6 linked regions of the Canis lupus familiaris genome follow. The main gene of each other region encodes a partner of the protein of the gene in region 3 in a complex. Links are inferred from orthologs where the notes say so. Each region holds a gene or a part of one and is shown on either strand. Other genes may lie near its edges. The genes, in order: FBXL13, DRC1, TCTE1, CCDC153, DRC7 and IQCG.

Region 1 (5,419 bases), on a different chromosome or scaffold from region 3:
TTTCAGAATTCAGATTTTTAAACAAACAAAATGATTCTTGTTGTTTTAAGCCACTAAGTTTTCCAGTTGTATGACATAGCAATGGGTAACTAATACAGCGAGCAAACAGAAAATGACTGACCAGCCAATCACACCTGTCATTCCAGCCAGACCCTAACTACGTACGGTATGAGAAAACACAGCCAGCCATTACTATCCTTTAACTTTTTATTATGGAAAACTTCAAACATACAGAAAGTAAAGGAGTATAATGAACCCCTATGTGCACATACCCAGTTTCAACAATTATCCCATTCTGGGAGTCTTCAAAGCTGATCATGTTAACAATGATTTTAAAATGACAACATATTAAAGAAAACAGGAAATGATAGACAAAATAGCTGAAAACAGGCAAAATTTTAATCAGAATGTGTAAAATAGAATCGGCTGATATTCTAAAACTGAAAAATATACTGTTTGAAATTAAGAATTCATTTGATATACTTATTAACAATATCCTGGACACAGCATAAAACAGAATCAATAAATTTGAAGACAATCATGAAAAATATCCAAACTTGAGCACAAAGAGAAAAATAAGGAAAAAACAGAGCAGGGGGTGGGGAAAAACTAACATAATTACGATTGCAGTCCCAGAAAGAGAAAGGAGAATTGGGTAGAAGCATTATTTGAAAATGATCAAAAATTTTCTAAAACTGATGGAAAATATCAATCAATAGAATCAGTAACCCAATAAGTCAAGCAGGGTTGTGTTTTGTGGTTTGTTTGTTTTCTTTAAATCAGCCTCTATGCAGGGGTTTGCAGGGAAATGACATCCAGGTTTTATTCAGGATAGGCGGGCGAAATTCAGACGAGGTTAAATATGCAGGGAAGTCCTGATTTAAAAAAAAAAAAAAAAAAATGTATGTATTCCAAAGCTTGCCGAAGATGGGTTTTAGAGGATTGCTAGTCCTGTTGAATCGGGTCAGATGAGTAGCTGTGTAGGGATATGAGGCTCAACGGGTTCATCCTGATAGTCCTTTAGGGGAAGTGGGTAACCAGGCTAAGGAGGGAGCGGGGCTCCCAGAAGCCTGCTCTCTTGCCCCGCTGGTAACGTGGTCAGAAGTGACGGAAGGGCTCATGAGAATATCGCCTTCAGTGAAGGGCACTTCTGAGGGCTCCCCTTCTCTGGGAGCAAAGCAATGTGGTAGGCTGGTGGGCTAGGGTGCTCTCACCCAAAGGAGGAACCAGGGATGCCTCTACCAGCTTATGGGAAGTGGAGAGCAAGGTGAGGAAAGGCTATCACTTCTCTGATGCTCCCGGACCCTCAGCTCGAGCCCACTTTCTGCTATGTATCTCACAGCCAACCAAGACAGGGTCATCGCAGCTATTCTGAGTGATCTAAATCTTAAACCCAAATATTCCACTTTCGGACCCCTACCCTCCTATTTTTCCAGCTCCCACACTCAGTTACTCCTGCTAATCCTCTTTACTCCTTAGGAACCTCCACTTTCTACCCATGTATCATATCCGGTCCCATTCTCACCTCATACCCAGTCCCTTGGCCCATCACTCAGGTACCCTAAAAAGCTTAGCTCCTTCCCCGCTGCCCCTCCACACTATATGCCTGGCCAACACCTCTCCTGGATGAAGTCAATCTTATTTCTGTACCTCTATTGGGTTTACTGACTGCTACTTAAGGAAAACCAGGGCAGCTCTGATGGCCCAGCGGTTTAGTGCCACCTTCAGCCTGAGGTATGATCCTGGAGACCTGGGATTGAGTCCCACGTTGGGCTCCCTGCATGGAGCCTGCTTCTCCCTCTGCCTGTGTCTCTGCCTCTGTGTGTGTGTGTGTGTCTGTCATGAATAAATAAATAAAATCTTAAAAAAAAAAAAAAAAGAAGAAGAAAAGAAAGAAAAACTACACCCTGGGGAAGATGAGTGCCATGCTCTCTACATATTTTGAAATATAATCGTGTAGAAGTAAAACATGAATGAGACTCAGCAGAAAAAAAGTAAAACAATACACAAGTATACACAGCAAAGAAAATTAGGGTTCTCTCCTAAAAGCATTCCCCCCAAACATTTGCTATTAATAGTTTTGCATATGTTCTATGCATGCATTATTATTGTCTTAAACGTCGCTACACACAGACATAGGAAATCACAGTAGGGATCCCTGGGTGGCTCAGCGGTTTAGTGCCTGCCTTCCGCCCAGGGCGTGATCCTAGAGTCCCAGGATCGAGTCCCACATCCGGCTCCCTGCATGGAGCCTGCTTCTCCCTCTGCCTCTCTCTGAGTCTCTCGTGAATAAATAAATAAAATCTTTAAAATAAGAAAAAAAAGGAAATCACAGTAGCTACATTGTAGGAGACACTTCTGGGGCAACTTGCATTTTTCTTCTTCTTTTAAACTATGTCTTGGAGAGCTTTTCTTCTCAAAAGGTATACACATACTTTATATACTATCTCATTCCCTTATTCATATAGAAGTTATTTACTATTTTCACCATAATGAATATCCTCGGACAGCTTTCTGGATACACGTGAAAGCCTATCTCTCCAGTGGATCCCTAGAAGTGAAATGTTTGGTCAAAGGCTATATGTAGTCAACATTTAATAAATTTAAATTAACCATTCAAAAAGGCTGCACCGAACTGCCCTCCCAAGTGCACAGCAGTCACTTTCGCAAGCTGGGCTCTCAGGGCTGCCGGGCTCTCCTCGTCTCTTTCCCCAGACTTCTCTCCCCCTCAGTCTCCACACACGTGTCTCTGCTCAGACCCCTTCTGCAGCCTCCAAACCCGCGCAAACACGCACGGCTTAGCATACGTCTCACCAAATCTTTGTCGAGAAAATGGCAGTCACCGGGTCTTGCTTTCCTAATCCCCAAACCTACAAAACCCGCCGGGCCTCTCCAGTCCTTCCTGCTGTAACGACGGGGGGAGGGGCCCCTGGTCAGGCAGGGTCGGGCTGTGGGGTCGGGGCCTGCCGCCTGGCGCCCCCAGGCTCCGCCTCCCCCGGGGCCCGCCGCTGCCCGCTCGCTCTCCCGACCACTTGCGCATCCTCCTGCGGCCCCGGGCCTCTTGCCCAGACCTTAAGTGCGGGGCTCGCGGTTCCTGTCCCGGGCCCCGCGCCCCGTGCTCTGGCCTCCGAGCCGGTCCGCCCCGGGCGCCGCGCCGCCTGCCCTCTCCGCCCCCGGCTCCCGGCCGGGCCCAACCCCCGCCCCTCCTCCCGGACGTCTTCGGGCTCCGCTGCTCTAACGCCGCCGCCGCCGCGGGCTCCAGTACCTCGCACACCTGAGGAATGTAATTCTCCTTGAAGTAGCTCCTCAGCCGGGAGTCGGCGGTGCGCAGCGAGGCCATGACCGGGGCCCCCCAGACTCCGCGCCCCGCGCCCGCTAGCGCGTCCCGGCGTTGCCCTGGCAACCGCGGGGCGGGGCGGGCGCGGCCCCGGAGCCCCCCGCCCCCGCCGCCGCGAGCCGCCGGGAGCCGCCGGGAGCCGAGGAGAGCCGCCGGGCGTGGAGGCGGGCCCGAGCCCGGGCGGGAGCGAGGGGAAGCCCACCTCTGGACGGGGACCGCGTCCCCCAGTGAGTCCCCTCGGTGCGCGCGGTCCCTGCGCCTCCTCGCGGAGCTCCGCCCTAGCTCCGCCCCCTCGCTCCGGCCCCGCCCCCGCTCCGCCCCTGCCGCCCCGCCGGGCCGCTCGGGGCGCAGTGGGCGGTCCCTCCGTGTCAGCAGGGCCGTTTCCGGGAGGCGGGGCTCGGGCCCCATTTCCTGTGTCCTCCCGGCGCCGGCGCTCGGGCTGAGGCGGGATCCGCGGCTCCCCGCCTCGCGCGCCAGGCCCAGCGCAGCGCCCCGGCCCCAGGGCAGCATGGGCGGCGCCCGGGACGTGGGCTGGGTGGCGGCGGGCCTGGTCCTCGGGGCCGGTGCCTGCTACTACATTTACAAGCTGGCGCGGGGCCGGCGGCGAGGCGCCCGCGGGCTTCGGCTGCGCCCCTCGCGCTCGGCAGGTGAGGCCACGGGGTGCCCGGCAGGTGGCCGGGGCGGGGGGCGGGGGCGGGGGCACGGACGACGGCCCCCTCGCTGGGGCTCTGAGCTGCCGCCTGCGTCCACCTCGTCCAAAATCCCGGGGTAAAAACGCCCGGATTTTCCTGGCTGAGGGCGGCGTCCCCGCGGAGGATTGGGTGGTTTCTCAGAAGCGCGTGGGTTGCCCCTCAGGGTCAGGACCCGCCGCGGAAGGTGCGGTGGTGCCTGCGGCCGCCCCTGAGGAAGGAGGGCGGGGGCCCCGCCGCGGCGCGGAGGCCCGGGGACTCCCTGCGGTTCGGTTACGAGGTTGCGGAGGTCCCGGGGCCGCGGATGGAAGCAGCTGCCCGCGCGGGGAGCTGGGGGCGCCCCCCCCGCGACCCCCCGCGACCCAGCGCCGGGGTGGTTGCTGCCCCAAAGCCGGTGGTGCATCGGGATTCCGAGGATTTGCTGGGTGTTCTAGGATAGTGCGGGTCACGGATGCCAACCAAGAAACTCCTCCCTACAAATGGAGGAAAGAACTAAAGCTTTATTGTTGAATAAGCGCGACTCCAGATTGCCGTGCCCATCACAGGCGATCAGCTGATGGGATTGAGAAGACACACGTGTCTTCACTTCGTGTATCTGGCGGATAAAGTCTGTTTCGTGTCATCTCTGCATGTTCTGAAGATAAACAGGAACTTGTCCTCAAGAGGGCTTGACAGCACCATTCACACAGAGTCCATCCTAAATTCGCTGGTAATCGGGGTGGCTATCGCTGTTAGCTAATTGCCTTGATCCAGAGGAAAATAAGACTTCTCGGGATCTTTATGATGAGCAGGTGGTTACCACGTGGAGCCAGGCGCCAAGGCTAAACTTAGGGGTCTGCGCTCCATCTTTTGATGTTTACATTTCACATAGATGACCCCAAAAGCCCCTAAGAATGACTTTCTTACATGTAAACTGGCAAGACGGTTACTTAGCTTTTTAAAAGTCATTTGGGGCACCTGAGTGGCTCGGTGGTGGAGCGCCTGCCTTCAGCTCAGGTCATGACCCCGGGGTCCTGTGATCAAGTCCCCCATGGGGCTCCCTGCATGGAGCCTGCTTCTCCCTCTGCGTGTTCCTCTGCCTCTCTCTCTCTGTTTCTCGTGAATAAATAAAATATTTTTTTAAATGCCATTTATATCAAAGAGAGGATTTACAGTTCTGGCTGACGTTTGAACAACAGGGGTTTAAACTGTGCAGGTTTACTTACACGAGATTTTTTTTTTCAATAAATATATGCACAGTTCTGTAAGTGTATTTTCCTTATGTTTTTCTTAGCATTGCCTTTTCTCTAGTTTATTTTATTGTAAGAATACCGTATATAAGACATATACCAAATATGTTAATTGTTTTCAGTAAGGCTTCCAGTTAATGGCAGGCTCTTACTCAAGTTTGGGG
Region 2 (5,222 bases), on a different chromosome or scaffold from region 3:
TTGGCAAATTGAATACCAATAAAAAATAAATTTATTATTAAAAAAAGGAAAAAAATAAATGCCAATCAGTTAACATGTGTATTATTAGTTTCAGGTGTACAATATAATGATTCAATACTTGCATACAACACACAGGCTACAAAATCAATGTACATAAATCTGTTATATTTCTTTTCTCTTTTCTCTCTCTCTTTTTTTTTTTTTTTTTTTTGAGAGTGGGAGTAGAGGCAGAGGGAATGGGAGAGAATGAATCTTAAGCAGGCTCCATGCCCAGTGTAGATCCTGACATGGGGCTTGATCTCACAACCTGAGATCATGACCTGAACCAAAATCAAGATTGAATGTTTAACTGACTGAACCACCCAGGCACCCCAGAAATCTGTTGTATTTCTATACACCAATGATGAAGCAGCAGAAAGGATTCAATCTCATTTATAGTTGTACCAAAACCAATAAGACACCTAGGAATAAGCCTAACCGAAGATGTAAAAGATCTGTACTCTGAAAACTTTAAAACACTGATGAAAGAAATAGAAGATGAAACAAAGAAATGGAAAGACATTACATGCTCATGGGTTGAAAGAACAAATAATTAAATGTCTGTATTACCCACAGCAATCTACACATTTATTGCTATCCCTTTCAAAATACCAACAGCATTTTTCCAGAACTAGAACAATCCTAAAATTTGTATGGAACTACAAAAGACCCCAAATAGCCAAAGCCACCTTGCAAAGGAAAAGCAAAACTGGAGGCATCACAATTCCAGACTTACAAGTTATAATTAAAAGCTGATCAAAACAGTATGGTACTGGCACAAAAACAGACACATAGGTCAGTGGAACAGGATAGAAAATCCAGAAATGAACTCACACAACTATATGGTCAATCTTCAACAAAGCGGGAAAGAATATCAATGAGAAAAAAGTCTTTTCAAACGATGTTGGGGAACATCTCTCTAAATATGAGATCTGAAACCATAAAGCTCCTAGAAGAGAACACAGGCAGTAACTTCTTTGGCCTTACTTTGTGCTCATTTTTTGACCATATGTACTAGATATATTTCAAATAGAACTTGGATCACATTCTACACATTTGTGTTACATCCTTTCTTCCTCATTTCATACATCTTTAGGTCTTTGTAGGTCAGACCCATTCTTAGTAGCTACATTGTTATCCATCCCGTGAAAGCTTTATCAATCCCATTTTTTTAAAAAAGATTTTATTTATTCATGAGAGACACAGAAGAGAGGCAGAAACACAGGCAGAGGGAGAAGCAGGCTCTCTGCGAGGAACCTGATGTGGGGTTGGATCCCAGGACCGCGGGATCACGATCTGAGCCAAAGGCATGCTCAACCACGGAGCCACCCAGGCGTTCCTATCAGTTCCCTATTGATGGATTTCAGGGTCACACTAGTGTTTTAACATTATAAATAACTACAGCGAGCATACATATACATCTGTGTACACTTCTTTCAGCAAACACTAGTTGAGCACTTACTACATATTAGGCATTATGCTCGGCGCTATTTGTACAGTGCTGAACGAAACTGATGTAATTTTCACCCCACTAAGGTAGAGCCTAAGTCCCGTTCTCTCTCCGGGAGAAGAATACAGAACCCAGGGGGGCGTGCAGCCTCAGGTGGGCGTGGCCTGGGAGCTGTTCGCGCGCGCTCCAGCTGCGGGTCAGGTGCCTGCTTTTCCCTGGCGACGACTTGTTGCTAGCAACGGGGCCGTGGTCCGGCGGTGGTCCAGGCGCCGCGGGCCTGGGGCGGGAGGCACCTGCCATGAATCCGCCGGGATCTCTGGGGGTTCTGGAGGAGAAGGAGGAGGAAGACTTGTCCACCCCGATTCTCGGGCCGTCCATATACTCTGACAACCCTCAGGAGCGGATCCAGGCCCGGCGCCTCCGCATCGCGGCGCGACTGGAAGCCCGGAGGCGGTGAGCGGGGGTCCGGGCGGTCGGCAGCGGAGGCGGGGACCAGGCGGGCGCCTTCCCGGGGCGGGCGGGGCCCACGTGTGAGCGCAAAGATAGGCGGTGAGCTAGGAAAAACTTCTTCCGGAAGGTTCAACCAAAGTATGGGATATGAACACATTCAATACACTTGTGGAGTCAAAGACGGAAATAATAGTCTCTGCAGCAGGAAGTTTTTAAAAATTTATTGAAAGCCTGCTGTGCCATGCACTGCGAGCAATGGACTGCAGACACAGGCCATCCGTGACCTCCTCTCAGAGGTCTTTCTTTCCTCCTTCCCATCCCCACCTGCCTGCCTTCCACAAGCATTTCTGGAGTGGACCTCAGCTGTCACTTCTGCTGGTCTCAGTAGCTTATCTGGTTGTATGACACAAACCCTCATTCCTGAAGGGTCTGTGCCTGATAATCATACCCTTCTCAGGACAGGGTTGTTGCACCTGTCTACTCATAGGCACAGTGGGCTGTCACAAGAGGATTCTAAGAGGCACCTGCATGATCTTCTGAATTCCTGAACACCCTCACTGTGTAAGAGCACTTGTACCCTGTCCTGCTAGCCAGGGTCACCTATCCTACCAAGATGGTGACTTCTTGTTTGCTGGCCATTAGATCACAGAGTGGTATGGCTGTGTTCCAATAAAACTTCACTTTAAGGGATCCCTGGGTGGCACAGTGGTTTAGCGCCTGCCTTTGGCCCAGGGTGTGATCTTGGAGACCCGAGATCGAATCCCACGTCGGGCTCCCGGTGCATGGAGCCTGCTTCTCCCTCTGCCTATGTCTCTGAGCCTCTCTCTCTCTGTGTGTGACTATCATAAGTAAATTAAAAAAAAAAAAAACTTCACTTAAAGACGTTGAAATTTGAATGTCATATAATGTTCATGTGTCACAAAATTTTCTTCAGATTTTGATCTTCTTTTCTGAATTCATTTTTTAAGAGAAATTTTAGATTCACAGCGAAATTGAGTGGAAAGTACAGAGATTTCCCATATACCACCTGCCCCCATGCATACACAGCCTGTCCCACTATCAACATCCTCCAGAATGGTACATTTGTTACAAATGATGAAACTCGGGCAGCCTGGGTGGCTCAGCAGTTTGGCACTGACTTCGACCCGGGGCATGATCCTGGAGACCCGGGATTGAGTCTCCCGTCGGGCTCCCTGCATGGAGCCTGCTTCTCCCTCTGCCTGTGTCTCTGCCTCTCTCCCTCTGTCTCCCATGAATAAATAAATAAAATCTTAAAAAAAAAACAAAACAAAACAAATGATGAAACTCCATTGACACATCATCACCCTAAGTTCATAGTTTACATTATGATTCACTCTTGGTGTTCTATGGATTTTGACAAATATATAGTGATATGTGTCCACCATTATAGTATCATATGGAATAGTTTCATTGCCTTAAAAATCCTTTGTGCTCTTCCTATTGATCTGTTCCTTTTTTTTTTTTAATCATTAAAAAGTGTAAAAATCATTCTTTTCTTATGAGCCCTACAAAAACAGATGGGTCATATCTAGCTCTCAGGTCAATCTTGATGTAGTGGATCAACGTGATGTTCTCTGGGGTATCCAAATGGTCCTGATTTATTCAGTCTATGTTTTGACAGAGATCAGGAGAATCAACATGACGCTGTGAGTGTGAGAATTATATGTGTATATATTATTGTCTGTTCCATGTAAATGTGAACTTCTGATTCTTTTTCCTGATTTAGGTAGAAAATAATACATTTGACCCAATCAGCAGCCACCTTGTATGTACATAAGACCACTCTACACTGCTCCAGCAAAGATACCACATTTACATGGCAACAGCAATGAGGCCTACTACTTGGTTGAGCTTGCAGTATTGATAATCATATTCTCAGATGCAACCAGTTTTTGCAGGGACCAGACCCGTGAACTAAATGGAAACATGATGGGGGGGGGGGGGGACCACCACTCCTGTATCCTTGAGATCCTTAAGGGTGATACTAATTTCCACCATCCCCACTCCCTAGCCCCCACTTTGTGATTGTTTTTATGTATTCAGGTACAGTTTTAAAGATGTCCACTTGGCCTTCCCTCCCATGATAACTCTTACCCACTCACCAACAACTTAATGTGGGAATTTCTCAAATTTCTAAGTATGTTAAGATCACTCTGATTGCTGTCTGAGGGATTGGTTTGCAGAAGCCAGAAGTATAATTGAAGAGGACAGTTAGGAAGCAGTTGCATTGGTTCTGTGAGGGATGAAGTTGGTCTGGTGGGTTTGGAGAGAAAGCAGATGTAGTCAAGAAATGCTTTACAGCTTAAACTGACTGGATTTACTGATTTTAGATATGCTAGTCAAAGACAGGGAAAAAGCAAGAATGGCTTGAACAGCTGAGTAGATGGTAGTGCCTTGCATTGAAATGATAAAGATGGTGATGGGGGAAGTGAGTCAGGAGGATTTGGAAATCAAGAGTTTGGCTTTGGACATATTCAGTGAAATTGGATTTTGGAAGACTTTAAAACCAAGATGTCCATTAGGCATTTGGACATGGGTCTTCAACTCAGAAGACAATTCTAGATTAGAGAGGTCAACAGCATTATGATTGTATTTAAAACCATGGGAATGGATTGAATTTACTCTGGAAAAAAGGATAAAAAGAGATGAGAAGAGAGCTCAGAAAAGGAATTAGAAACAGAAAAGGAATCGCTGACAAAGGGTTGTCTCCATGACATAAAGACCACATGGAATGGCTGGTGGTGCTGGTGAGAAAACGAATATGTGAGGTGCAGTGGTGTACCTAATGAGTTTAACACCTGGAGCAGGGGATTAAAAAAAAAAAAGCCTGAAAAGGAAAGCAGACAGTGAATGTTTTCTTTGATTGAACTTTGTTTATATAACCAGGACAGTGAAAAAAATTTAAAAATAAAAGTAAAATTTCTGATTTGAAACAAGAAAACAAATGGATCAATACCTTTTAATTACATTAAACTATTTGGAGGAGGGGGAGGAAGAAAAACATGAAGAAGTGTTTCCAAAAGAATTCCTCGAGGTTTAGAGAATGAATGCATGCAGAATGACAGAACTGAACTAACCCAAGTTCAGCTTCTTCATGTTTTCAATAGCTGGGCTGTTGTTTATGTCAGATCCCTCTTGGGGGTTGGGGATGTGCGCTGTGCCTAAGTGAGCTGGGACCATTTGGAACCATCTCTAATGTCCTCTCAAAACACATGCACACAGCCAACTGTATTCTCCTTGTTCTCTGAATGAACCTCATTAG
Region 3 (5,440 bases):
AAGGCATGTCCCTGCTTCCTGGGAGGCTGGGCTCCTATCTTTAGGCAAAGAGAGCCTGTCAGAAAAGGCCTCCCCAGGCCAGGAAAGCAACGAGACATTGGCACCCTACTACGGAAATTACTGGTTCATAACATATACATTTATCTATCTATATCTATATCTATATCTATATCTATATCTATCTATCTATATCGATATCTCCCCTCTTATCAGGCATCCACACCTCTGTGTGAATGAATTTCAGATCCAAAAAGTCAAGTTAGGAAGAGGGCAAGGAGAACACATCACCACGGGTGGAGGGCCCATAGGAGAATAAGTCAGGGGACCTGAGATAACTCCACCTACTTCACAGGCATCACCAGTCTGCAGCTGAGGGTGGTAGCAGGTGGCATTATTTTTCCTGGAAGCCTGGGGGGTGGATAGACACCCATTAGTGAGGGGCCCAAAGGCACCCCGACAGCTCCTAAGGGCCTGAGGAGGACAGCTCCAGAAATGGCACCCACTTTCCTCTTTGGAGCTTTTCTCCCTAGGGAACCTATGGGGTAGACAGAGAATCCCAGAGTATGAAGACTGAAAGTGTGTTGAACACTCTGATCCTTCTCTTTTCTCATATTCCAGAGAGAAAGTCAGGGCCATGGGGAGTGATCACTTCTTGTGCCACCACCTGGTGCCCCTATTGAAATGCACAGCTTACTCTAGGATGGGGAAGGTGGGGACATGTCCTGTGACCTTTCATTTCCTGGCACAGGTTTCACAGGCCTGTTGGGCTTTACAATGCTGTGTCTCCAGCCATCATCCAGCCTAACCCCACACAGGACCACAATCCCTGTAGAAAGGTCAATCCTCTCCCAACCAGCTCTCTGTTCTGTGTCCTTAGGACCAGGGCCCAGGGTCCTAAAATCACATTCAGGCCATAACTCAAAGGGTTGGGTGTAAAAGTCTATTCTCTATGTGCCCAAGCACAGGTAATATTAAGTGACAACATGCCCTAGTTCGGCCAGCTTGGCCTTGTTTTTGATGGCTTGCATCTGCTGGACAAGTGTCCTGGGAACCATATCTTGCCTATACACAGCTATGATTTATGGAGTTTTAGGCTCTCAAAGCATTTGCACAGCAGGAGGCAGCTGGTAAGGACTTAGGAATTATACTGCATTAAGGCCAATCTCCACTCTACCCCGGAGCATCTGTGAGGCCTTGGGGAAGTCATTTCACCCTACTAAGCCTCCATTTCTTTATCTGTAAAATGGGGGTAGAAATTAGTAGTGTCTACTTCCTAAGATTATCCAGAAGATTTTAAAGGAGCTGATGTGTGTAAGAGGATTCATGTCATGCTGGGCCCAGAGCCACCCTTCAAAATATGTGTTAGATTTGTGATGAAGATGTGACATGACTTACCTAGGTATGTTCATTCAATCTTCCTTCAATTGAGGACTATTCCTGCTATTATGACACTATTATCTCCATTGCACAAATGGGGAAACAAGCTTAGAAAGCATAAGTAGCTTGCTAAGCATCACATAGCTAGTAAGTGGGAGACCTAAAGTTTCAGCTGATACCCATTCAAAGCTCTCTGTCACTTCCATGCACAAAAGCATAGAAATAATAAGCTGTTGGGATTGCTTCCTAAACTGTCCAGATTCAGTTGTTCATGGCACTTTTCCAGCGGGCCTCCTATTTTCTGCAGCTCATGGGCGCTTCTCATCCTGTCACCAGTGTGAAGCCTGGGGTAACCCTTTAGATGCTGGCCTAAACAGCCCAGACTCCCTCACCCCCTAAGTCACTGCCAGACATGAGGCCCTTCCACAGAACTGGACCGTCGCCTGAATCCTTCAGCATGAGGCCTCTAGGGACCCAAGAACATTCTGTAGAGCTGCACTTTCCTGCTCCATGGCTCACATTGGGCCCTTGATATTGCTCATAGACCTGGGACTCAGTGCCTGAATCTCTAGCACATTCCCTCCTCTCGGACGTCTCAAACCTTCTCTATTCTTCTCAAGTCTCCAGTTAAATCTAACCACTGTAGCCAGACGGTTCTCCCCACTGCCTGAAGGGGAAAGTTGAAGAGGCTGGGGGAGAACTCTCTCCCCTTCCTGCTCATCACATCCCTGGTCCTCATTCTCACCTGCCTTCCTCTTTTTTTTTTTTTTTTTTACCTGCCTTCCTCTTAACTGAGGAGCCGAAGCATCTCTGTGCCCCTTGGACACTACCTTCTGGGCTGGCTCGGCTAGATGGGTTATATCCTCTACCCACTTCTCCCTCTGTGCTTCCTCTGACTTCTCAGCCAGCTTCTCCTTCACTTTAGGATCCCAGAGGAGACCCCTCCCTGGGCATCTGTCCTCAGGGGCCCTGGGCTTTTGTCTTACTTTCCTGATCTCTTTCATGCCTCCATCAGACCCTACCTCCGGCCATATGCCTCCCAAATTCCCACTTGGGAATTCTTAGTTTGTGAAATCACAAAAGAAGGACAGCAAAGTTCTGTGATGGAGCCTGGGCCCAGCATGCTTGGTGATTGGCCCCAGTGAGATGGCACACTTATCACACCCCTGGGCTTGGCCCTTCTCCCAACTCCTGACCACTTGGGTCTGTTGTCTTAAAAAGGGCTCCAGAGTATTCATTCCTCACCCCTTACTCCTGCCTTGGGCTCAGACACTCCTGCAGGGAAGCTCAGCTCCAAAGGCCAGCGAGTCCCTCCCCCAACTTGCCAGGGGTGAGGAGGCCCTTGCGGCTCCTTAGTAACCAAGGGAAACCAGCCGTGCTGTGGGAGGGAGGGAGGAAGGGAGGTACTGAAGCTTCTGGACCTGTAGGAGGGACTGCAGCCTGCAGGAGCTGGGAATGGGAGTCCGTCTTTCTGAGAAGCCTGCGGCTCCTCCGGGGCTCAGGACTGCTCTCCTCCACGACCTACCCGATGCCCCACACTCTCCTTCCTCCTTCTCGTGGTGTCCCCCCCCCCAACCCCGCACCCCTTTACTGGCAGACCTTAAACCTCTGGGCCAATATGCAGTGACCTTAGCGGAGAAGCAAGGGTCCCGCCTCAAATGGGTGGGGTGGGGAGTCTCCTGTGGGGACAGACGGGGCTCAGAGCCAAGCCAATCTCAGCCAGGCGGGAGCGGGGGCAGGGGGAGTTCAGCCCCATAAGGGAGGCCCGGGCTTGAGCTGTCTTCCCGGGCTCACCTCACCCACTCTCGAGGCCGGACGCTCCCCTTCCTGCAGGCCCACCGCGCAGCCGCGCCGGTCGTTAGGGACGCCCCGCGTCGCCAGGGGGCGGGTCCGAGGGCGGGTGCGCATGTGCGCGCCTACATCCGCGTGCGCTCGGGCCTCCGCGGCGAGCCGCTGGGTGGGTCCTGGGAACCGGGAGGGGAGGGGCGGGGCGGGGTGGGGGGAAAGGGGGCCGTGCTCCGAGGTTCTGGGGAGCGCGCTTGGGAATAGATGGGCTTTTCTGGGGGAGGGGGAGGAGTAGGGCCTGGGGCAGGGCTCCGGACTGGAGTGCTGTTCCTTCTTGGTACCTTCTGTGTGGAACCGGGGTGCGCGGTGACGAATGGACAAAGGAAAAGCATCCGCAGTTTCTTCTGGAAGGTGAGGAGGTGGAAGGGCACCTGCAGGGGTTACCGGATCTCCTCTGGGGCCTACTGTTGCCCCGAGCCTTGCAGGAGAGCTGTGGGCTGCAGCATCCTTGCAGTGTGGTACCTTCCACCTTTCTCCAGGATGTGAACAAGGCTGATGTCAGGCACCAGGCAGGAAGTTTCCAGGTCTCCACAGCGCTCCTTCACACAGCACTAAACGTTATGTCACCCCCCCCCCCCCCCCCCCGTCCCCCTTAGCTCTGGGCGGCAGGATGTGGTGCTCCTGACGGGCAGGAAGGACCAACCTGGGGGGTTGGCTAATAAGAACTGTCCTTCAGGAGGGGAGAGGTGACCAGGATGGTAGGACGTTTCACATGGAGGCAGTTTAGCTTTACCTTCAGCTCTCCCAGTTACTAGTCTGTTGCCATGGGTAAGTTAACATCTTAGAAGCTCGGATAACTCATCGTAAAACGTCACCGCAACTCCTCACCCTGTGTCCAAAGTAAAGAGCTGGGCTTCCAGTGAGCGTCACTGAGAGGTGGCCACTGTGGCAGTGGCCGAGATCCGGAGGTACAGCTTTGCAAGCCCACAGGGCTGAGCGAGAAGGAATCCCCGGCATCCCATTCCGGTGGGGACTGGTCCCTCGCAAACCCTTTAACTGTTGCAATTAGAATGAGAAATCATGTGGGAAGCCGTGCTTTACACTTATAATTTTAACTAAACGGCCCCGGAACTTGGTCACCAGGGAGCCTTTAACTTGGAGATGGATCTCCTGAGATCCTTTCCCTCCTCTAGCAACAGAGAGCTGGGAACAGAGGTGGAGCTCCCGAGTCTGGCTTGGTCCTGAGTGCATCCATCCTGTTAGGGAAGGAGGGTTCCTTTGGCTCTCGGCTTCCTCCCACTCTGAGCTGCCACTTCTCAGCTTCAGCTCAGGCTTGGGGCCCGTGCCCTGCACTTTGTCTTAAAGAGTTGGGTGGCTCTGGCCCCTGTGCTCTCCAGACCCCATCACCTGCCACTTACCACTCACTGCACCGGCTCACCTCCCCCAGAGGGCCCCTGCACTGGCTGTGCCCTCAGTCTGGGGCACTGTTCCCTCAGATACCCTCCACTCAGTGCCACCTCCCAGGAAACAACGAAGTCACCCCTCCCAATCCTTGTCCTGCCTTCTCTGCAGACCTCATTGCTGCCTTCCATCTGCTGCCTTCTCTTTACTGCGTATTTCCCTGCTAGCAGAAAGCTCCACAAGTGCAGGAAGTTTTATGCCTTTGGTTCTCACCACAGTGTCAGCAGCTGACCAGTACCTGCTGCTCATTTCATTGACAAATCACCAGGGCCTGCCTTCCTGAAAATGGGAAGTTACTGTTAATGAAACAAGCGGCACCAGTGAGGATCTGCACTGCTGTAATGACTTTCACAGGGCAGGTCTGGGTCTCAGCAGCTAGGGACACCTTTGTGAGTGCCCAGAACCCCCTGGTGTGGAAAGCCCATTCGTTAAGCACTTGGGGCAATGAGAATGGTTCTCATTTGGATGCTGGGTGACTTTTCAATCCTATGTGAGGGATCAGACAGGTGACAGGACACCTATAGAAGGATGCTTGGAGGGGAAAGTGACTCTTGTTTAAACAAAAGACCTTCTGGAACTTCCTAGCCTTTGTGAAATTATATATATTAAAGATTTTATTTATTTAACAGGGGTGGGGGATGAGAGCATAAACAAAAGAACAAAAGGAGGGGCAGAGGGGGAGGGAGAAGCAGGCTCCCCGCTGAGCAGGGAGCCCAATGCCAGGCTCCATCCCAGGACCCCGGGATCATGACCTGGGCTGAAGGCAGATGCTCAACCAACTGAACAGCCACTCAGGCGCCCCTTGGTGAAATACTTT
Region 4 (3,583 bases), on a different chromosome or scaffold from region 3:
GCCGAACAGGTGGAGGTGCTGGGAAGGTGGTACGCCTGAAGAGGGTCTGGGGCTTCCATGCTCCTGCCTCACCCTAGACATACTTGCCGGCTGTTCCTGAGCTGTGTCCTTCATAATAAACTGGTAAACTAGGGAGTAAACTGCTTCTCTGAGTTCTGTGAGCCACTCTAGCAAATGATGGAACCCAAGAAGGGGGTTGTGGGAACCTTTGTTTTTTGGTCAGTTGGTCAGAAGCACAGTGACAATCTGGACTTGACACTGGCAGTTGAAGTAGGGATTGGTCCCGTAAGCCTGTGGGATCCGGTGCTCTTTTCACATTAGTAGTGCCAGAATTGAATGAAATTATAAGGTACCCAGCAGGGGTCCACAGAGCTGTTGAAGAATTGCTTGGTGTGGGGGACCCCTCCCCTGACGTATATATGACCAGAAGTAAAGTAGTATTGGGAATGTTGTAAAATAGAAGAGCAACACAGTGTTCCCTTTATAGGTGGGCTATGGGATTGGCTAGGATTGAAGCCATCTGGAACTTGCCTTAGGCATGACTCCTGGACTCCCCCCATATATTGCAAGAGTTTGGAGACCAGTTACACCTTCTCTCTGTCAGCACCTTAGGATTGTGGGGGCTGGTGCCTGGTCACTGCTGGTCTATTAAAGAAATGGCCTTGCCCCCACAAATCTGGCTACCTGTGTTGGTGCCGGGGAGGGGTGTGGGTAGTGGGAGTAGGGGATGGTGATTTGAAAGGACCCAAAGGGCCCAAGATTCAAGGCATGGGGCCCAGTTTCTCTAAGAGAGGAGTTGAGAGTTTGTCAAATGTCAAATTTCTATCCTCTCATTCAATCTTCAGAGTAATGGGTCCGCCAGAACCAACATGCCCTCAAAGAGATATTTGTATCTGTCAAAAAGGCACAGACCACAGTTCTGTGGAGTTCTACATCAAGACAGCTTTATTGCTGGAGCCTCTCAGAGGCCCAGAGACTAGAAGCTTACAGCTTTATTTTATTTTATTATTTTATTTTTTTAATGTTTTATTTATTTATTCATGAGAGACACAGGGAGAGAGAGAGACAGAGAGAGGCGGAGACACAGGCAGAGGGAGAAGCAGGCTCCATGCAGGGAGCCTGACATGGGACTTGATCCCGGGTTTCCAGGATCAGGCCCTGGGCTGAAGGCGGCACTAAACCGCTGAGCCACCCGGGCTGCCCCGAAGCTTACAGCTTTAGAGATCCAGGGGGTTGAGTCCAAATTGGTGGAGCTGCTCCTTGTACTTGGCGTGAAGTCTCAGCACAGCCCCATCCCACTGAGGCCTGACTGCTCTCAGCTTGGCTAAGAGTTGGTCCAGGTTGCCCTGTGGACACCAAGCTTCAGGCTCCAGGAAGGGAGAGAGGGTAGAGCAAGGGTTTCCCTGGGCTGGTCTGCGAGCTTTCCTCCTAGCATCTTCTTCAGGTTCTTACTCTTACTAAGTAAGTGTGGTTGCGTGCCTTGGCTGTCTGCCCTCGGGGCAGAGCAGGGTTCTCTGTGGAGATGCTTCTCCTCCCCCCTGGTCTCCCATTGATGACAATGATAGTATGAACTAGTTGGGGTTCAGGGGAATGGGGGAGTCCTAGCTACTGGGGTGGTAGGGCTTCCAGAGGTGGTGGTGCTTACATGTAAGATTTCCTCGTACTTGGCCTCCATGTCCACTACATGGGCCCGAAGCTGAGCCAGAGTCTGGTCCCGCTCTCCGAGGGCCCGTTCAGCCTCTTGCTGCGCAGCCTCAGCTTCCCTCTGGCACGTCTCTGCAGGGCAGGGCGGGAGGAGGAAGGGGACTGGGTAGTGACATTCTACTTGTGAACAGAGTCTCCAAAGACACCTCAAAAGCAGAACTTGAATGGGATCATTCCAGACTCCCCCCCCCAGGATCATCAATTTTCCCATAGTTCGTATAAAGATCTGACATATACCATTGAGGTACAGCAGAGAGAGCAGTAGGCTTGGGATGAGAAATGTGCGTCCAAAGTCTGGTTGTCACTTACTACCTGTGTAACTTTGGGTACATCTCTCTCTGAGACTCAGTTTCTTCATCTTTAAAGAGAGATTGATACAAACCTTACAGACTTATTGTGAGTTAAATGTGAGAGTGTATGGGGAAAAATACCTAGTATGTACAGGAGGTGCTCCATAAATGCTGATCGAATTTAAATTTGAAATAAGGCAAGGATTATGAAAGGAATTCAGGGTCCGCATGGCAGATAAGCAACTCTTGGGTATCTGTAGCTAAGCTGAGGCTATTTTAGGGGCCCCTGGCTGACTCTTGGTCTCAGGGTCATGAGTTTGAGCCCCATATTGGGTGTGGCGCCTAGTAAAAAGAAAGAAAGAAAGAAAGAAACTGAGGCTATTTTAGGTTAAGGAAACTCTGAGGTCACAATTGTGAAAGATCTTATGTGTCGTGCTAAGATAGTTCAACTTTATCCTGTAACCAAGAGAGAAAGGAAAAACTTCCTGTCCTTTACATTTTTGCTTCTCTAAAAGGTTTATTCTTTGATTTAGCAAGTAATTATGTAGGGCTTGGCATGCCCAAGGCATTGAGGATATGAAAATAAATAAGTCAAATATCTTTTCTTAGTTTGCATTGTAAACATCAGCTAAGAGGGAATATGTTTTGAGACGCCTGGGTGGCTCAGCAGTTGAGCATCTACCTTTGGCCCAGGGTGTGATCCTGGAGTCCCGGGATTGAGTTCCACATCAGGCTCCCCATATAGTGACTGCCCCCCTCTCTCTGTGTCTCTCATGCATGAATAAATAAATAAAATCTTTAAAAAAAGAAGGAATATGTTTCTTTCATGACAGACATGGCAGTGGAAGGGAGGAAGATCCAGGTTTGGCGAGACCATCGAGAGAGGGAGACAGCGTGAGTCTCTCCGGTTTCTTTAGTTCCACCTTTGAGATTTTGGCCATCTTGAGCCCTCTGCTGCAATCCTCCACGGTGAGAGAGTCAGGGGGGACAATGGTCCAAGAGCCTCGATTGCAGTCTTCTAGAGAAGGACCATTGTAAGTCCATCCCTGCAGGCTGGACCTTGTCAGTGCTCTTTGGAGAGAAAGGGCTTAGGGGGTGGGGAAGCCTACCCAGCTTCTTCCGAAGGCCCATCACTTCTTCCTCCTGCTGCCTCCTGTGGGTCTCCATTTCCTTCTGCAGGGCTCGGCACTGACGACACATCTCTGTGGTGAGGGCAGAGGGTGACCAGGGCCCCGGGTGTGGATGGAGTGGTGGAGAAAGAAAGGGAAGTTGTGGGGGGAAGGGGGGAAGGGCCTGCTTTGTCTGGTGGGAACAAGAGCAGTAAGGTCTTCTCCGTTCCCAGGATTCTGAGAAGCTTTCAGAGCCTGAATACCTGGAGAGAAGCTCAGAAATCACACCCCTCTCCCTCACCCAGCTCAGGACCTGGATTCTAGCCTTTTTCCCCACTCACTCTCACTACATGAATGAGACAAAGGTCATGTAATTTTTTTTGGTGATCCATATCACAGGAAGTGCTTTTTGTAATCCATAAAGCACATGGCATTGGGCATCCTGGAAGGTTCCTGCCTCTGGGTCCCAGAGGCCTTCCT
Region 5 (5,176 bases), on a different chromosome or scaffold from region 3:
CAGTAGCTGAAAGTGAGTTACAACAGGGAAAGAGGAGAGTGGGTTGGAGAACTGGGCTGTGTGTGCCTAGATGCCGGGGACAGACCCACAGTGGCTGGAATGAAGGACAGGGCAGCTGGCAGCTGCTCAGGGGTGGCCGGCAGGGCCGGGAGCTACGGGGACGCACTGCGTTAAGGAGGGTGCATCTTGCAGGATGCCTGTGGCAGCCCAAGCTGCACCTACCTCCTTGTGCTTCATGGTGAGCGGACACACGTCCCGAGTCAGGTCCATGTGGCATATGTCCTGCGAGCCGTAGCCGTTGATGCAGTAGGCGTCATAGCCAGCGCCGATGAGCATGGAGCAGAGCAGCGTGCTGAAGTCAAAGCAGTTCCCCTTCTGGTGCTTGAGCACCGTGGTGGAGGAGTATAGGTGCGAGGGCTGGCCACAGAGGGTTGGTCAGCACTGCCGGCACCGCAGCCCCCGACCTGTCCCCCCACTGGCCAGCGGCTGGGCACTAGGGCTAAGGCGCAGGCTGGATCCCCACCCCCGACCTGGGCTCCCCCACTTTGTCAGGTTAGGGAGCCTGCTAAGAATGGGATGGGACCACGGCCCATGTATATAAAGTACAATCCACATTTGCCTATAATTTTAAGTGGCTGTGGACTTCCTGATGGGAAAGACCCCTGGACTATGGAAGCTTCTGGTCTAATGCTCTCTGATTGGTCATTTAATGGTTTTCTTCCAAAGTTCTCACCTTCTCTTCTGATCTTTCCTTCTCTTCCCTTCCTTAGTTCTCCACTGTGTACCTATCCCTTTCTCCCTCGTTCCCTCCATTCTCAGTTGGGAAACAAATTGAACTGAACAGAAGCCCAAAGATGGGGCCGGGGGTCACAGGCAGCGGGGCCCTCCCCCCCTCTCCTTTCCCCATCTCTCATGTCTTGAAAGGAACACTCTGAAGGCAGAAGGAGGCAAAGGAGACAAAGAGGTGGAGCCAGGAGACCAGCCTTGCTGTGTGACCTCAGGCCAGTGGCCATCCTCTCTGAGCCCATTTCCCCACCCCCACTCCCATCCCCTGGGTGGGGTGGTCTCTGAGGGACTCAGATCAGATAGACTATGGGCCGTGGCCTGAACCTCCCTGAGTCTCCTGCTCCCTGGCTTCCCATCCTCAGCCTCATGGGCCAAAGGATGCAGCCTGGGGTGGCACTTACTGGCTTGAGGGGGTCAGGCAGGGGCACCATGGAGAGGAAGTCTGATACAAACTGGGCACAGCTGTCCCAGTTGTAGAGCTCAGGGTAGGGCATCAGCGTGGGCCGGATGGTTGTACTCACAAACTTCTGCAAGGGGAGAGACCACAGGCTCCAAGAAGGACTTCCACCAGGGGAGGCCAGCCCTCCCCCAAAGCCAAGGCCCTGTGTGGGGCGCTGGTTATCCATGGCTCCTTAGATGGGCATGGGTCTCCAGGTCACCACAGGTCCCTGGGGTGAGTCACATGGAGTCTGCTGGGGCATGCTGGCATTTGAGTTTATGCTGTGCCCAGATACAAGCTCTGACCCACAGGCTTTGGCTCACCTCCCTCTGCCCTCTGCCCTCCAGCCTCTGTCCTACCCTCTACCACCCGGCCTTACGGGCACTTCGCACTCGTTCAGTGGGTGCAGGAAGAGGGGCACGCGGTCTGGGCACAGGTGGCTGTACTGACGAGAGAAGTTGTCTGCCACTTGCAGCAGGTGTTCCTCCTTGAGTGTGTTGCTTTGGTAGGAGAGGGGTAGCTTGGAGATGTCGATTGAGTCCTTCGTGAAGGTCCTGTGCCCACAAGACAGGTGGCCCCCTGGCACCTGGGCTGGCACCCTGGCTGGCGCTAGCCCTTCCTCGTGTAATCCTCACAACTGCCCAGAGGGGTATCATTATTATCATGTGCACTTTTAAACAGAGAAGGGAACTGAGGCACAGAGAGGCCGAGTGACTTGCCCCGGGTCACACAGCTCACGAGGGGCAGAGAGGGGACCTGGACGAGGCGGATGGAAAGCAGAGCCCTCACTCGTATCTGCTTCCCTCTGCGTCGGCTCCCACCTCCCAACCCTGGAGCCGCTGTTTCTGTCTGGCCCGAAGCCCCGACCCCGACACGCACAAGGGCTGCTCCGGGACGACGATCTCAATCTCCGACAGCTTCTTCTCCAGGTCTCGGAGCATCTCCTGCGTCATGGGGGCTTCCTCCCTCCGCGCGTCCAGGGGCCTCAGCAGCTTCTCGCCCCGCTCGGCCGCCTCTGCCCGCTCCGTGGCCGCCTCCTCCTCCACTTTCTCCTTCAGGACCTCCATCCCCGGCGGCCTCTGGCTGTCCTGAGCCCGAGTCTCTGTGGGAGGGGTGAACGCACCAAGGGTGGCCCACTTCAGTCACCAGGGTGGCCTGCGTCTCCGGGAGGGGTTGGGGGCGGGAAGCGAGCCCCCCTCAACTTCCCCTCCATCAGGGAGAAAGAAAGTCTTACTTGGTGCCAGCACGTCTGTGACACTTTTCCACCGTTTGCGGATCTCCCTATAAGACAGAGACAGAGCAGGTCGCAGCGTGGAAGCTATTGTCAGGGCTGAGCAGGTGGCCCAAAGTTACTAATGCAGTTTTATTTATTTTACTTATTCAACAGTAGCTTCTCTTCATGGCAAGTGATGCTAATGCCATAGGGATTAGAGAAAAGAGGAAGGAAAGAAAGGTAACATCACCAGGCTTGGAGCCGAGGCACAGAGAAAGGCATGGGCAGGCTGCCACCAGGCACCTGGACAAGTATGTGGGGGGTGACATAGCCTGTGCTCTCTGGGTCAAGCCCTGTGTCAGCCCGCAGGACAGAGGTCGCAGAGAACTTATTGGTGTGGGGAGAAACCCCCACACATTTGGTGACCAGAGGTGGGGGGTGGGGCAAAGTGTCCCTTAGGAGAAGTAAAGGAGAAGCAGAGGAGATAGGGCACCGAATTGAGTTCTTCCCTTACAGACTCTGAGAGGTAGACGCTCCTTTGGTACCCACTTTGCAGATGAGAAAATTGAGACCTAGAGACATTAAGTGCAGTGGCTACAATACAGAGCTAATAAGTAGCAGTCTGGGGTTTGAGCCGTATATTTCTGGCTCTGGAAACCGTACACCTTAGGACCTACCAGGATCTATTTCCCGATAAAGTTGGGAAGCCCTAGAAGGGATGGGGCGGGGGTGGGGTGGGGTGGGGTGGGGGAGAGGTAAGTAAAGAAGGAAGTGGGGAGAAAGCCAAGGTGTCTGTGAGCAGCAGGGGGTTACAACTATGACAGGCACTGAGATGGGCCCCAAGCCCAAGGTCACAGAACATGAGAGGTGGAACTGAGCCAGAACCTGTTATACTAATTTCCCACACCAGGCTGCCCCTTCAGGTACAGCCTGGTTTAGGGAGGCCAGTCCCTGCCCAGAGGACCTCCCCACCCCACAGGCCCTTTTCTGCACCCCTCCCTGGCAGCAACCAGAAACCTACACACACACACACACACACACACACACACACACACACACAGCTTCCCCAGAAAGATCAGGCCTGAAAGCCCCTCAGCAGAAAAAGCCCTCTTCCCATCACCACCCTACTTCTTACCCCACCACCAGCTACCTCAGGGCCTCTGCTCACTCCTCACCCCTCTGAGGACTGTCTGGGCCATCTGTTAGCCTGTCTCCATGGAAACAGCTTTCCAAGCAGAGTGCAGGGTCTGGGAGAGGAGGCTTCTGGGAAATGCAGTCTTCTGTTGCTGTCTAGATCTGGGCCCAGAAGACTATGTGTGGTAGGTCCCTCAGCAAGTGACAGGCTGGAGCCAGTTTGTGCCAACTTGCAAGAGCTGATTGTTAAAATTTCAGAAATGTTTGCAAGCCAGTTGACAAACAGCCACGATTGCACATTAAATTATAGAAACTTATAAATATGGACACGTGGTTGGCTCAGTGGTTGAGCATCTGCCTTCAGCTCAGGTCATGATCCCGGGGTCCTGGAATTGAGTCCTGCATTGGGCTCCCCGCAGGGAGCCTGCCTCTCCCTCTGCCTATATCTCTGCCTCTCTGTGTCTCTCATGAATAAATAAATTAAATCTTAAAAAAAAAACTTATAAATAGATTATATTAGAAGTGGAGGTAATTAAAACTCATTACTTTTTAATTATTTTACTACATTTCACCAGCATGTATATTCTTGAAGTTATTTCCTACTACTGTATCTGTATAACGGAAATGTTACATAATGATAAGCTACTCTGAATTTCTTCCCACCTTCTCTTCAGTGATGTCATGCCAATTGTTTAAAATTGGCAAATGTTGGGGTGTCTGGGTGGCTTGGTCGGTTAGGGGTCCGACTATTGATCTCAGCTTGAGTCTTGATCCCAGGGTTGTGAGTTCAAGCCCTAGGTTGGACTCTACACCCAGTGTAGAGCCTACTTAAAAAAAAAAAAAAGAAAAGAAAAAAGAAATAAAATTGGCCAATGTTATACGCCAGGACTTTTCCCCCCAGTGAAGCATTTACCAGGCCACCACTGCCTCTACCGCATGCATGGTCTGTGTGGCCCTCATCAAGACAGGTGGAAACCAGTGTGGGACCTGGTGTGTCCGCTTATCATGGTAGATAATACCCAACTACCTAAATGAGTCTTGGATTCTAGCCCAGGTTGGGCTTCTGATTTCATCTACGACTCACAAAACAGGGAAAACTCATCCAGAGCCCATGAAAATGGGCTGATTTCATCTACGACTCACAAAACAGGGAAAACTCATAGTGGCCCATGAAAATTAATTTTAATCTTTCAAATTCAGAAGAAAAAATGAATAGACTAATCACAAGTATATAATTATGAGTCCACCTGAATTATATTGGTCTTTGTACCAATGCAGTGAAAAAATATACTTTTACTTTTTTGTTATTGGAGGGAGGGGCCTTGAAAGTTGTAAAGCAGCCCTGTGGGGGAGTGGGGGGGTGGAACGTGTCGGCAGAAACACCATCCTGATAAGGTTGGACATTTGCTGCTCCTGGGGGAGACATAGCAATCACCTCAATTCTCAATAATAAATAATGATTTTAAATTCTGGTGGGAATATTACTCAGTCACGAGAAATAAAGCATGATGGATAAATAAAACCGAGGGAAAGGTCACGGGGCAGTGTGTCCTGCGATTACCTCTGGGGAAGTTGTTTGGGGTGATAGTGAGCAAGGAGCGGGG
Region 6 (4,709 bases), on a different chromosome or scaffold from region 3:
CAGTCCACAGACCTTGATCACGGGGAAGGTTGCAGACACCCTGGACAAGCAGGGTTATGCTGGTGGGTTGTGGTGAAGACAGATCTTTTCTTAGGGAGCAACTTAAAAGGAGTTCATACAACGGACAACGACCCTGGGCCCGTACTCCACTGCTTGTAGGCCTCCTCTCTTTTGTATACTGCAGGTGAAGATCCGGGGTGACGCTGCAGTGCACCTGGTATGCTTTGATCAAGATTTGACCATCACTAGTCTGTCCATATTTTACATCTTCTGTTCCCACATGGTCACCACAGGAGGCCACAAGTTGTGCCGAACAGCAGTAAGGAGGGAATAATCTGAGGCGCATGACGACGGCACAAAACCAGATGCCTTTGGCTTGGCACAGGGCAGCTGTAGACCAATGTCAAATGACCTTACTAAGTTATATAATGCAGCACCTTTTGCTTGCCGTAGGCAGAAACTCCTAGAGTTTTAACTCTGCATTTCTGATCTTTGTATTTTTACTCTGAAAGACTTAATATTCAGCTTGAAAAAGACAACTGACCAGAACATTTTCTTGAGTTTTTGAAAGTGTATCTTTGTATGGATGCTATTTAATGAATACCTAACTGTTTCACATGGTCAGGTTCTGTGAGAAACAAAATCACGATTATTTATATGGGCTGAGGTTTTCTAGAAAAGGCTTTCTGGACGTAAGTGGTATATAAGCAGGGCCTCAAAGAGAGACTGAGTGGTTAAGCAGGTGTACAGATTCCGGCCAGTGAGGAAAGGAAGCCATCCCATTCCACTCTAACTGAAGCCTTCCAAAACTCCAGACTTGGTCGCCAACCGCCTTACAGCTTGAATTAGAAGGGAGCAGAGAAGCAAAATGGCAAGAGACGGGAAAGGGAAGTGTAGAGAAAAGGAAGGGGCAAAAGTGAGCCCCAAAAGACCCCTCTAAAAATGAGTTTTTTTTTTTATGAGAACCACAGAGAGAGAGAGAGAGAGAGAGAGAACAAGCTGGGTGTGGGGTGGAAGAAGGGCAGAGGGAGAGAGAATCCTGAAGGAGACTCCCTGCCATGCAGGTCCCCCTGCCCCCAACACGAGGCTGATCCGACCCCAAGATCATGACCTGAGCTGAAATCAAGAATTGGCTGCCCAACTCCCTGAGCCACCCAGGTACCACCTAAGGTGTTATCTTTAAGTAATTTCTGCACCCAATGTGAGCTCAAACTCATAATCCTGAGATCCAGACATTCCACTGACTGATCCAGCCAGGCGCTCCAAAAGGTTTGTTTGACTTTGTCAATTTTCTAGAAAAGGCTTTTGGCTAGATCGTAAGCTCTGTGGGGGCAAGGACCATGTCTATTAGGTCTCCACTGTTTAACTTAGTATGGTACAGAATGAATATTTTTTTAATGAATATTGAAACCTTAAAATTGCCGAGCACTTTGTGACCTGCCAAGGGTTTTCACTTACTCTCAATTAATTCCTTCTAATCACTTGCTGAGATATTCCAGGCAGGGCAGATAGTAATGAAGGTAAGACTTAGAGAATTTAACTGACTTGGCTAATACAGCTGTTGGGGGCTTGGGTGGGAAGACACCTGATTCTCTTGATCATTTAGACCAGTGCTCTTTCTACCAAAATGAAGTAGTAATGGGAAATCTTTATGCATACAGACGACCCAGATAGTGCACCTAGGAAAGAATCTCCCATTCCTGATGCTTAGAACTACTTCTCTTTCATTTTCATCTATACTATCCATGATTATTGGCTAAGTTTCCTACAGTGCAGAAACAGAAAAATAGATTCAGTTTCTTGTTGATTTATAGATACAAAAGGTAGGCTTCAGTCATTGGCTGAACTGAATGGAGGTAGAATGTATTTTATTTATTTTGTTATTTTTTTAAATTTTGTTATTTTTTTAAAAAGATGTATTCATTTTAGAGAGAGAGGAGAGGCAGAGGGAAAGGGAGAGAGAGTTTTAGGCAGACTCCCCGCTGAGTGGGGAGCCTGATGCCAGGCTCCATCTCACTGCCCTGAGATCATGACCTGACCTGAAATCAAGAATTGGATGCCCAACCGACTGAGCCACCTAGGTGCCGCCTGAATGTATTTTAATTTCGAAAACTGGGCTTACCTCTACAGAGTCGGAATGAATATATTGCTCACCTCAAGGACCAGTTGCAAGAGATGAAGGCAAAAACCAACATGGAAAATCGCTATATGAAGAGAAACACTGATCTGCAGATCTCCCAGACCCAGAAGAAATGTAACAGAACCGAGGAGCTCTTGCTGGAGGAGATAGAGGTAATCACTGCATTTGGCACGAGCATGGTGCATGGCATGTGGGCTTTCACTCTTCATCTGCCTCAACTGACAGAGGAGGGAGGAAGAGGAGATTTTCTTGATCTCTGCTCCATCTCTCCTGCAACTCTCACATTTGAGATTAGAAATAAAAACAAAACAAGGTCTGGTGTATTTGCAGGCAGAGATTCTGATGGGCTGTAGCCTACATCTTTTTGTAATGATGTCGAAAATCAATTGTACTTTCTTTTTTTCTTAAGATTTTATTTATTTATCCACTTTTATCCACAAGAGACACACAGAGAGAGGTAGAGACATAGGCAGAGGGAGTCGCAGGCTTTCTGCGGGGACCCCAATCTGGGACTCGATCCTAGACTCTGGGATCAGTCCCTGAGCAGAAGGCAGATGCTCAACCACTGAGCCACCCAGGCGTTCCCCACCCCCACCCCCCTTTTTAAAGATTTTATTTATTTTCAGTTGTACTTTATTTCTTTGGTCACTTTATCTGTATCTTATAAAACCACTTGCCATTTTTCCTAGTAATTAGGGAGAAACAAGATACTTATTAAGTGTGGGTTTTGCTGCTGCCTTCCTCACCCCACCGGTACCTTTTGTACCTCCAGTAAGAAATACAAAGTCAAGAGAGCTGAACTTCATTCAAACCTAAATTTATAAAGATGAGAAGTCACAGTGGAAAATATCAGGAGAAAGACACAAGGGGTAGACCCTCCTTAGAAAAGGAAGGCTAAAATGGCTAAATGAACAATGGGTTGGTGAGAGGGAGCAAACATGGGAAGTGCCCTCTGTGTGCAGGAGGACTGCTTTCTTTGGGCCCCTACTTAGTGGAAAGCTTACTCCCCAGGTATGGCGTAGGACTCGGACTACAAACCTTTCTTGTATCCTGGAATTTTCTTTTCGAGGCCTAAGAACCGTGTGCCCTTGAAACATTGTTTCTCTCCTTATCCAAGCCAGCAAATCGTGGTCCTTTTGTCCTGGGCTCTGGCATGTGTCCAGCACAATGCCCGACACATGGCTCAGTGATGTTCTTGAACACGAACTGGGTGGAAGGGAATTGATTTGCCACCCTAGTGCAATACAACAGGATTCTTGGGATCCCAGCTGGTAAAGAAAATCTGAGGGGCGCCTGGGTGGTTCAGTCAGTTAAGCATCTGCCTTTGGCTCAGGTCATGATCTTAGTTAGGTCCTGGGATCGAGCCCCATGTGGGGGTTCCCTGCTCAGCAGGGAGTCTGCTTCTCCCTCTCGCTCTGCTGCTCCCCCTGCTTGGGCTCCATCTCTCGTTTTCTCTCTTTCTCTCAAATATATATATTTTTTAAGATTTTATTTATTTATTCATGAGAGACACAGAGAGAGGCAGAGACCCAGGCAGAGGGAGGAGAAGCAGGCTCCCTGCAGGGAGCCCGATGTGGGACTCGATCCCGGGACTTTGGGATCACGACCTTACCTGAAGGTTAATAAAATCTTAACCAAAAAGAAATAAGGAAAGCAGCCAGGCAGCCAGCCTGAGATACTGTCACAGCTACACCTCTAATCTTGAGAACTTCTCATTCTGAACCGTGCTGGCAGGAATTCCTGATATTTATCGTTTTCACAGAAACTGAGGTTGAAAACCGAAGAAGAGAACAGGATTCATATGGAGATTGAAACGTTCCTTAAGAAGGAGCAGCAGGTGGGTCACCCAAACTCCACTTACAAAATACCATGTATGGCAAAAAAATTGTTTTTAAGGAAATAAATTATTTGAGGGATAAAAAAATCAGGGCAGCCCTGATGGCGCAGCGGTTTAGCGCCGCCTGCAGCCCAGGGCGTGATCCTGGAGACCCAGGATCGAGTCCCACATCGGGCTCCCTGCATGGAGCCTGCTTCTCCCTCTGCCTGTGTCTCTGCCCCTCTCTCTCTGTTTCTCATGAATAAATAAAATCTGAAAAAAAAAATCAACCAGAATTTTACTGGCCTAATGAATGAGCTTTAGACCATGTCTTGTCTCACAGTTACTCATCTGAATGAACATTTTATAAAGCTGTAATTTGAGCACAGGTAAAATTTTGTCTTCTGCCTTTATCAGCTAGCAATATATAACAAACTTTTCTTGCTCCTATATTCCTCATAGTCATAATTTTAAATTAAAATTTACTGATTCTTAAAATTATTAAAATAACATACTCTTAGTTGAGGGAAGTTTTTTTTTGTCAGTTGCTTTTTGCCTCATTTTTTTCATGTTATTATAGTGTCTTCATAAAAATAATTTAAAATAGCTTTATGTTCTATTGAATGGTCATGCCTTAGTTGACTTGTTACCCTTTATTTTGGATATTTAGATTATTTCCAAGGTTTCATTATTATAAATAATGCAGTAATGAAAGCTTTGCCAAAAAACTGTTTTCCTTCACTGTAGTTATTT

What was found.
Region 1: TCTE1 (region 3) and FBXL13 share a complex: the UniProt entries of both Homo sapiens proteins name them as parts of the nexin-dynein regulatory complex. The link is inferred for Canis lupus familiaris from reciprocal best matches to the Homo sapiens genes DRC5 and FBXL13.
Region 2: TCTE1 (region 3) and DRC1 share a complex: the UniProt entries of both Homo sapiens proteins name them as parts of the nexin-dynein regulatory complex. The link is inferred for Canis lupus familiaris from reciprocal best matches to the Homo sapiens genes DRC5 and DRC1.
Region 4: TCTE1 (region 3) and CCDC153 share a complex: the UniProt entries of both Homo sapiens proteins name them as parts of the nexin-dynein regulatory complex. The link is inferred for Canis lupus familiaris from reciprocal best matches to the Homo sapiens genes DRC5 and DRC12.
Region 5: TCTE1 (region 3) and DRC7 share a complex: the UniProt entries of both Homo sapiens proteins name them as parts of the nexin-dynein regulatory complex. The link is inferred for Canis lupus familiaris from reciprocal best matches to the Homo sapiens genes DRC5 and DRC7.
Region 6: TCTE1 (region 3) and IQCG share a complex: the UniProt entries of both Homo sapiens proteins name them as parts of the nexin-dynein regulatory complex. The link is inferred for Canis lupus familiaris from reciprocal best matches to the Homo sapiens genes DRC5 and DRC9.

The regions. Positions count from the first base shown.
Region 1 is NC_049239.1:17,297,147-17,302,565, reverse strand, and holds the start of FBXL13 (dynein regulatory complex subunit 6), read right to left. Parts: upstream 3,394-5,419; 5' UTR 3,341-3,393; coding exon 3,266-3,340; intron 1-3,265. Other genes in the region: ARMC10 (armadillo repeat-containing protein 10), read left to right, coding at 3,846-3,984. UniProt on the Homo sapiens protein: Substrate-recognition component of the SCF (SKP1-CUL1-F-box protein)-type E3 ubiquitin ligase complex.
Region 2 is NC_049238.1:20,543,729-20,548,950, forward strand, and holds the start of DRC1 (dynein regulatory complex protein 1), read left to right. Parts: upstream 1-1,689; 5' UTR 1,690-1,787; coding exon 1,788-1,942; intron 1,943-5,222. UniProt on the Homo sapiens protein: Component of the nexin-dynein regulatory complex (N-DRC) a key regulator of ciliary/flagellar motility which maintains the alignment and integrity of the distal axoneme and regulates microtubule sliding in motile axonemes.
Region 3 is NC_049233.1:12,894,335-12,899,774, forward strand, and holds the start of TCTE1 (dynein regulatory complex subunit 5), read right to left. Parts: upstream 3,285-5,440; 5' UTR 3,172-3,284; intron 2,737-3,171; exon of another isoform or gene 2,623-2,736; intron 2,110-2,622; exon of another isoform or gene 1,396-2,109; intron 409-1,395; exon of another isoform or gene 346-408; intron 1-345. UniProt on the Homo sapiens protein: Component of the nexin-dynein regulatory complex (N-DRC) a key regulator of ciliary/flagellar motility which maintains the alignment and integrity of the distal axoneme and regulates microtubule sliding in motile axonemes.
Region 4 is NC_049226.1:14,709,649-14,713,231, reverse strand, and holds the end of CCDC153 (coiled-coil domain-containing protein 153), read right to left. Parts: intron 3,197-3,583; coding exon 3,104-3,196; intron 3,013-3,103; coding exon of another isoform or gene 2,819-3,012; exon of another isoform or gene 1,790-2,818; intron 1,777-1,789; coding exon 1,646-1,776; intron 1,347-1,645; coding exon 1,218-1,346; 3' UTR 923-1,217; downstream 1-922. UniProt on the Homo sapiens protein: Component of the nexin-dynein regulatory complex (N-DRC), a key regulator of ciliary/flagellar motility which maintains the alignment and integrity of the distal axoneme and regulates microtubule sliding in motile axonemes.
Region 5 is NC_049223.1:58,042,654-58,047,829, forward strand, and holds the start of DRC7 (dynein regulatory complex subunit 7), read right to left. Parts: upstream 3,700-5,176; 5' UTR 3,589-3,699; exon of another isoform or gene 3,574-3,588; intron 2,507-3,573; 5' UTR 2,460-2,506; intron 2,328-2,459; 5' UTR 2,293-2,327; coding exon 2,105-2,292; intron 1,780-2,104; coding exon 1,605-1,779; intron 1,314-1,604; coding exon 1,188-1,313; intron 418-1,187; coding exon 223-417; intron 1-222. UniProt on the Homo sapiens protein: Component of the nexin-dynein regulatory complex (N-DRC) a key regulator of ciliary/flagellar motility which maintains the alignment and integrity of the distal axoneme and regulates microtubule sliding in motile axonemes.
Region 6 is NC_049254.1:29,471,024-29,475,732, forward strand, and holds part of IQCG (dynein regulatory complex protein 9), read left to right. Parts: intron 1-2,130; coding exon 2,131-2,292; intron 2,293-3,902; coding exon 3,903-3,977; intron 3,978-4,709. UniProt on the Homo sapiens protein: Component of the nexin-dynein regulatory complex (N-DRC), a key regulator of ciliary/flagellar motility which maintains the alignment and integrity of the distal axoneme and regulates microtubule sliding in motile axonemes.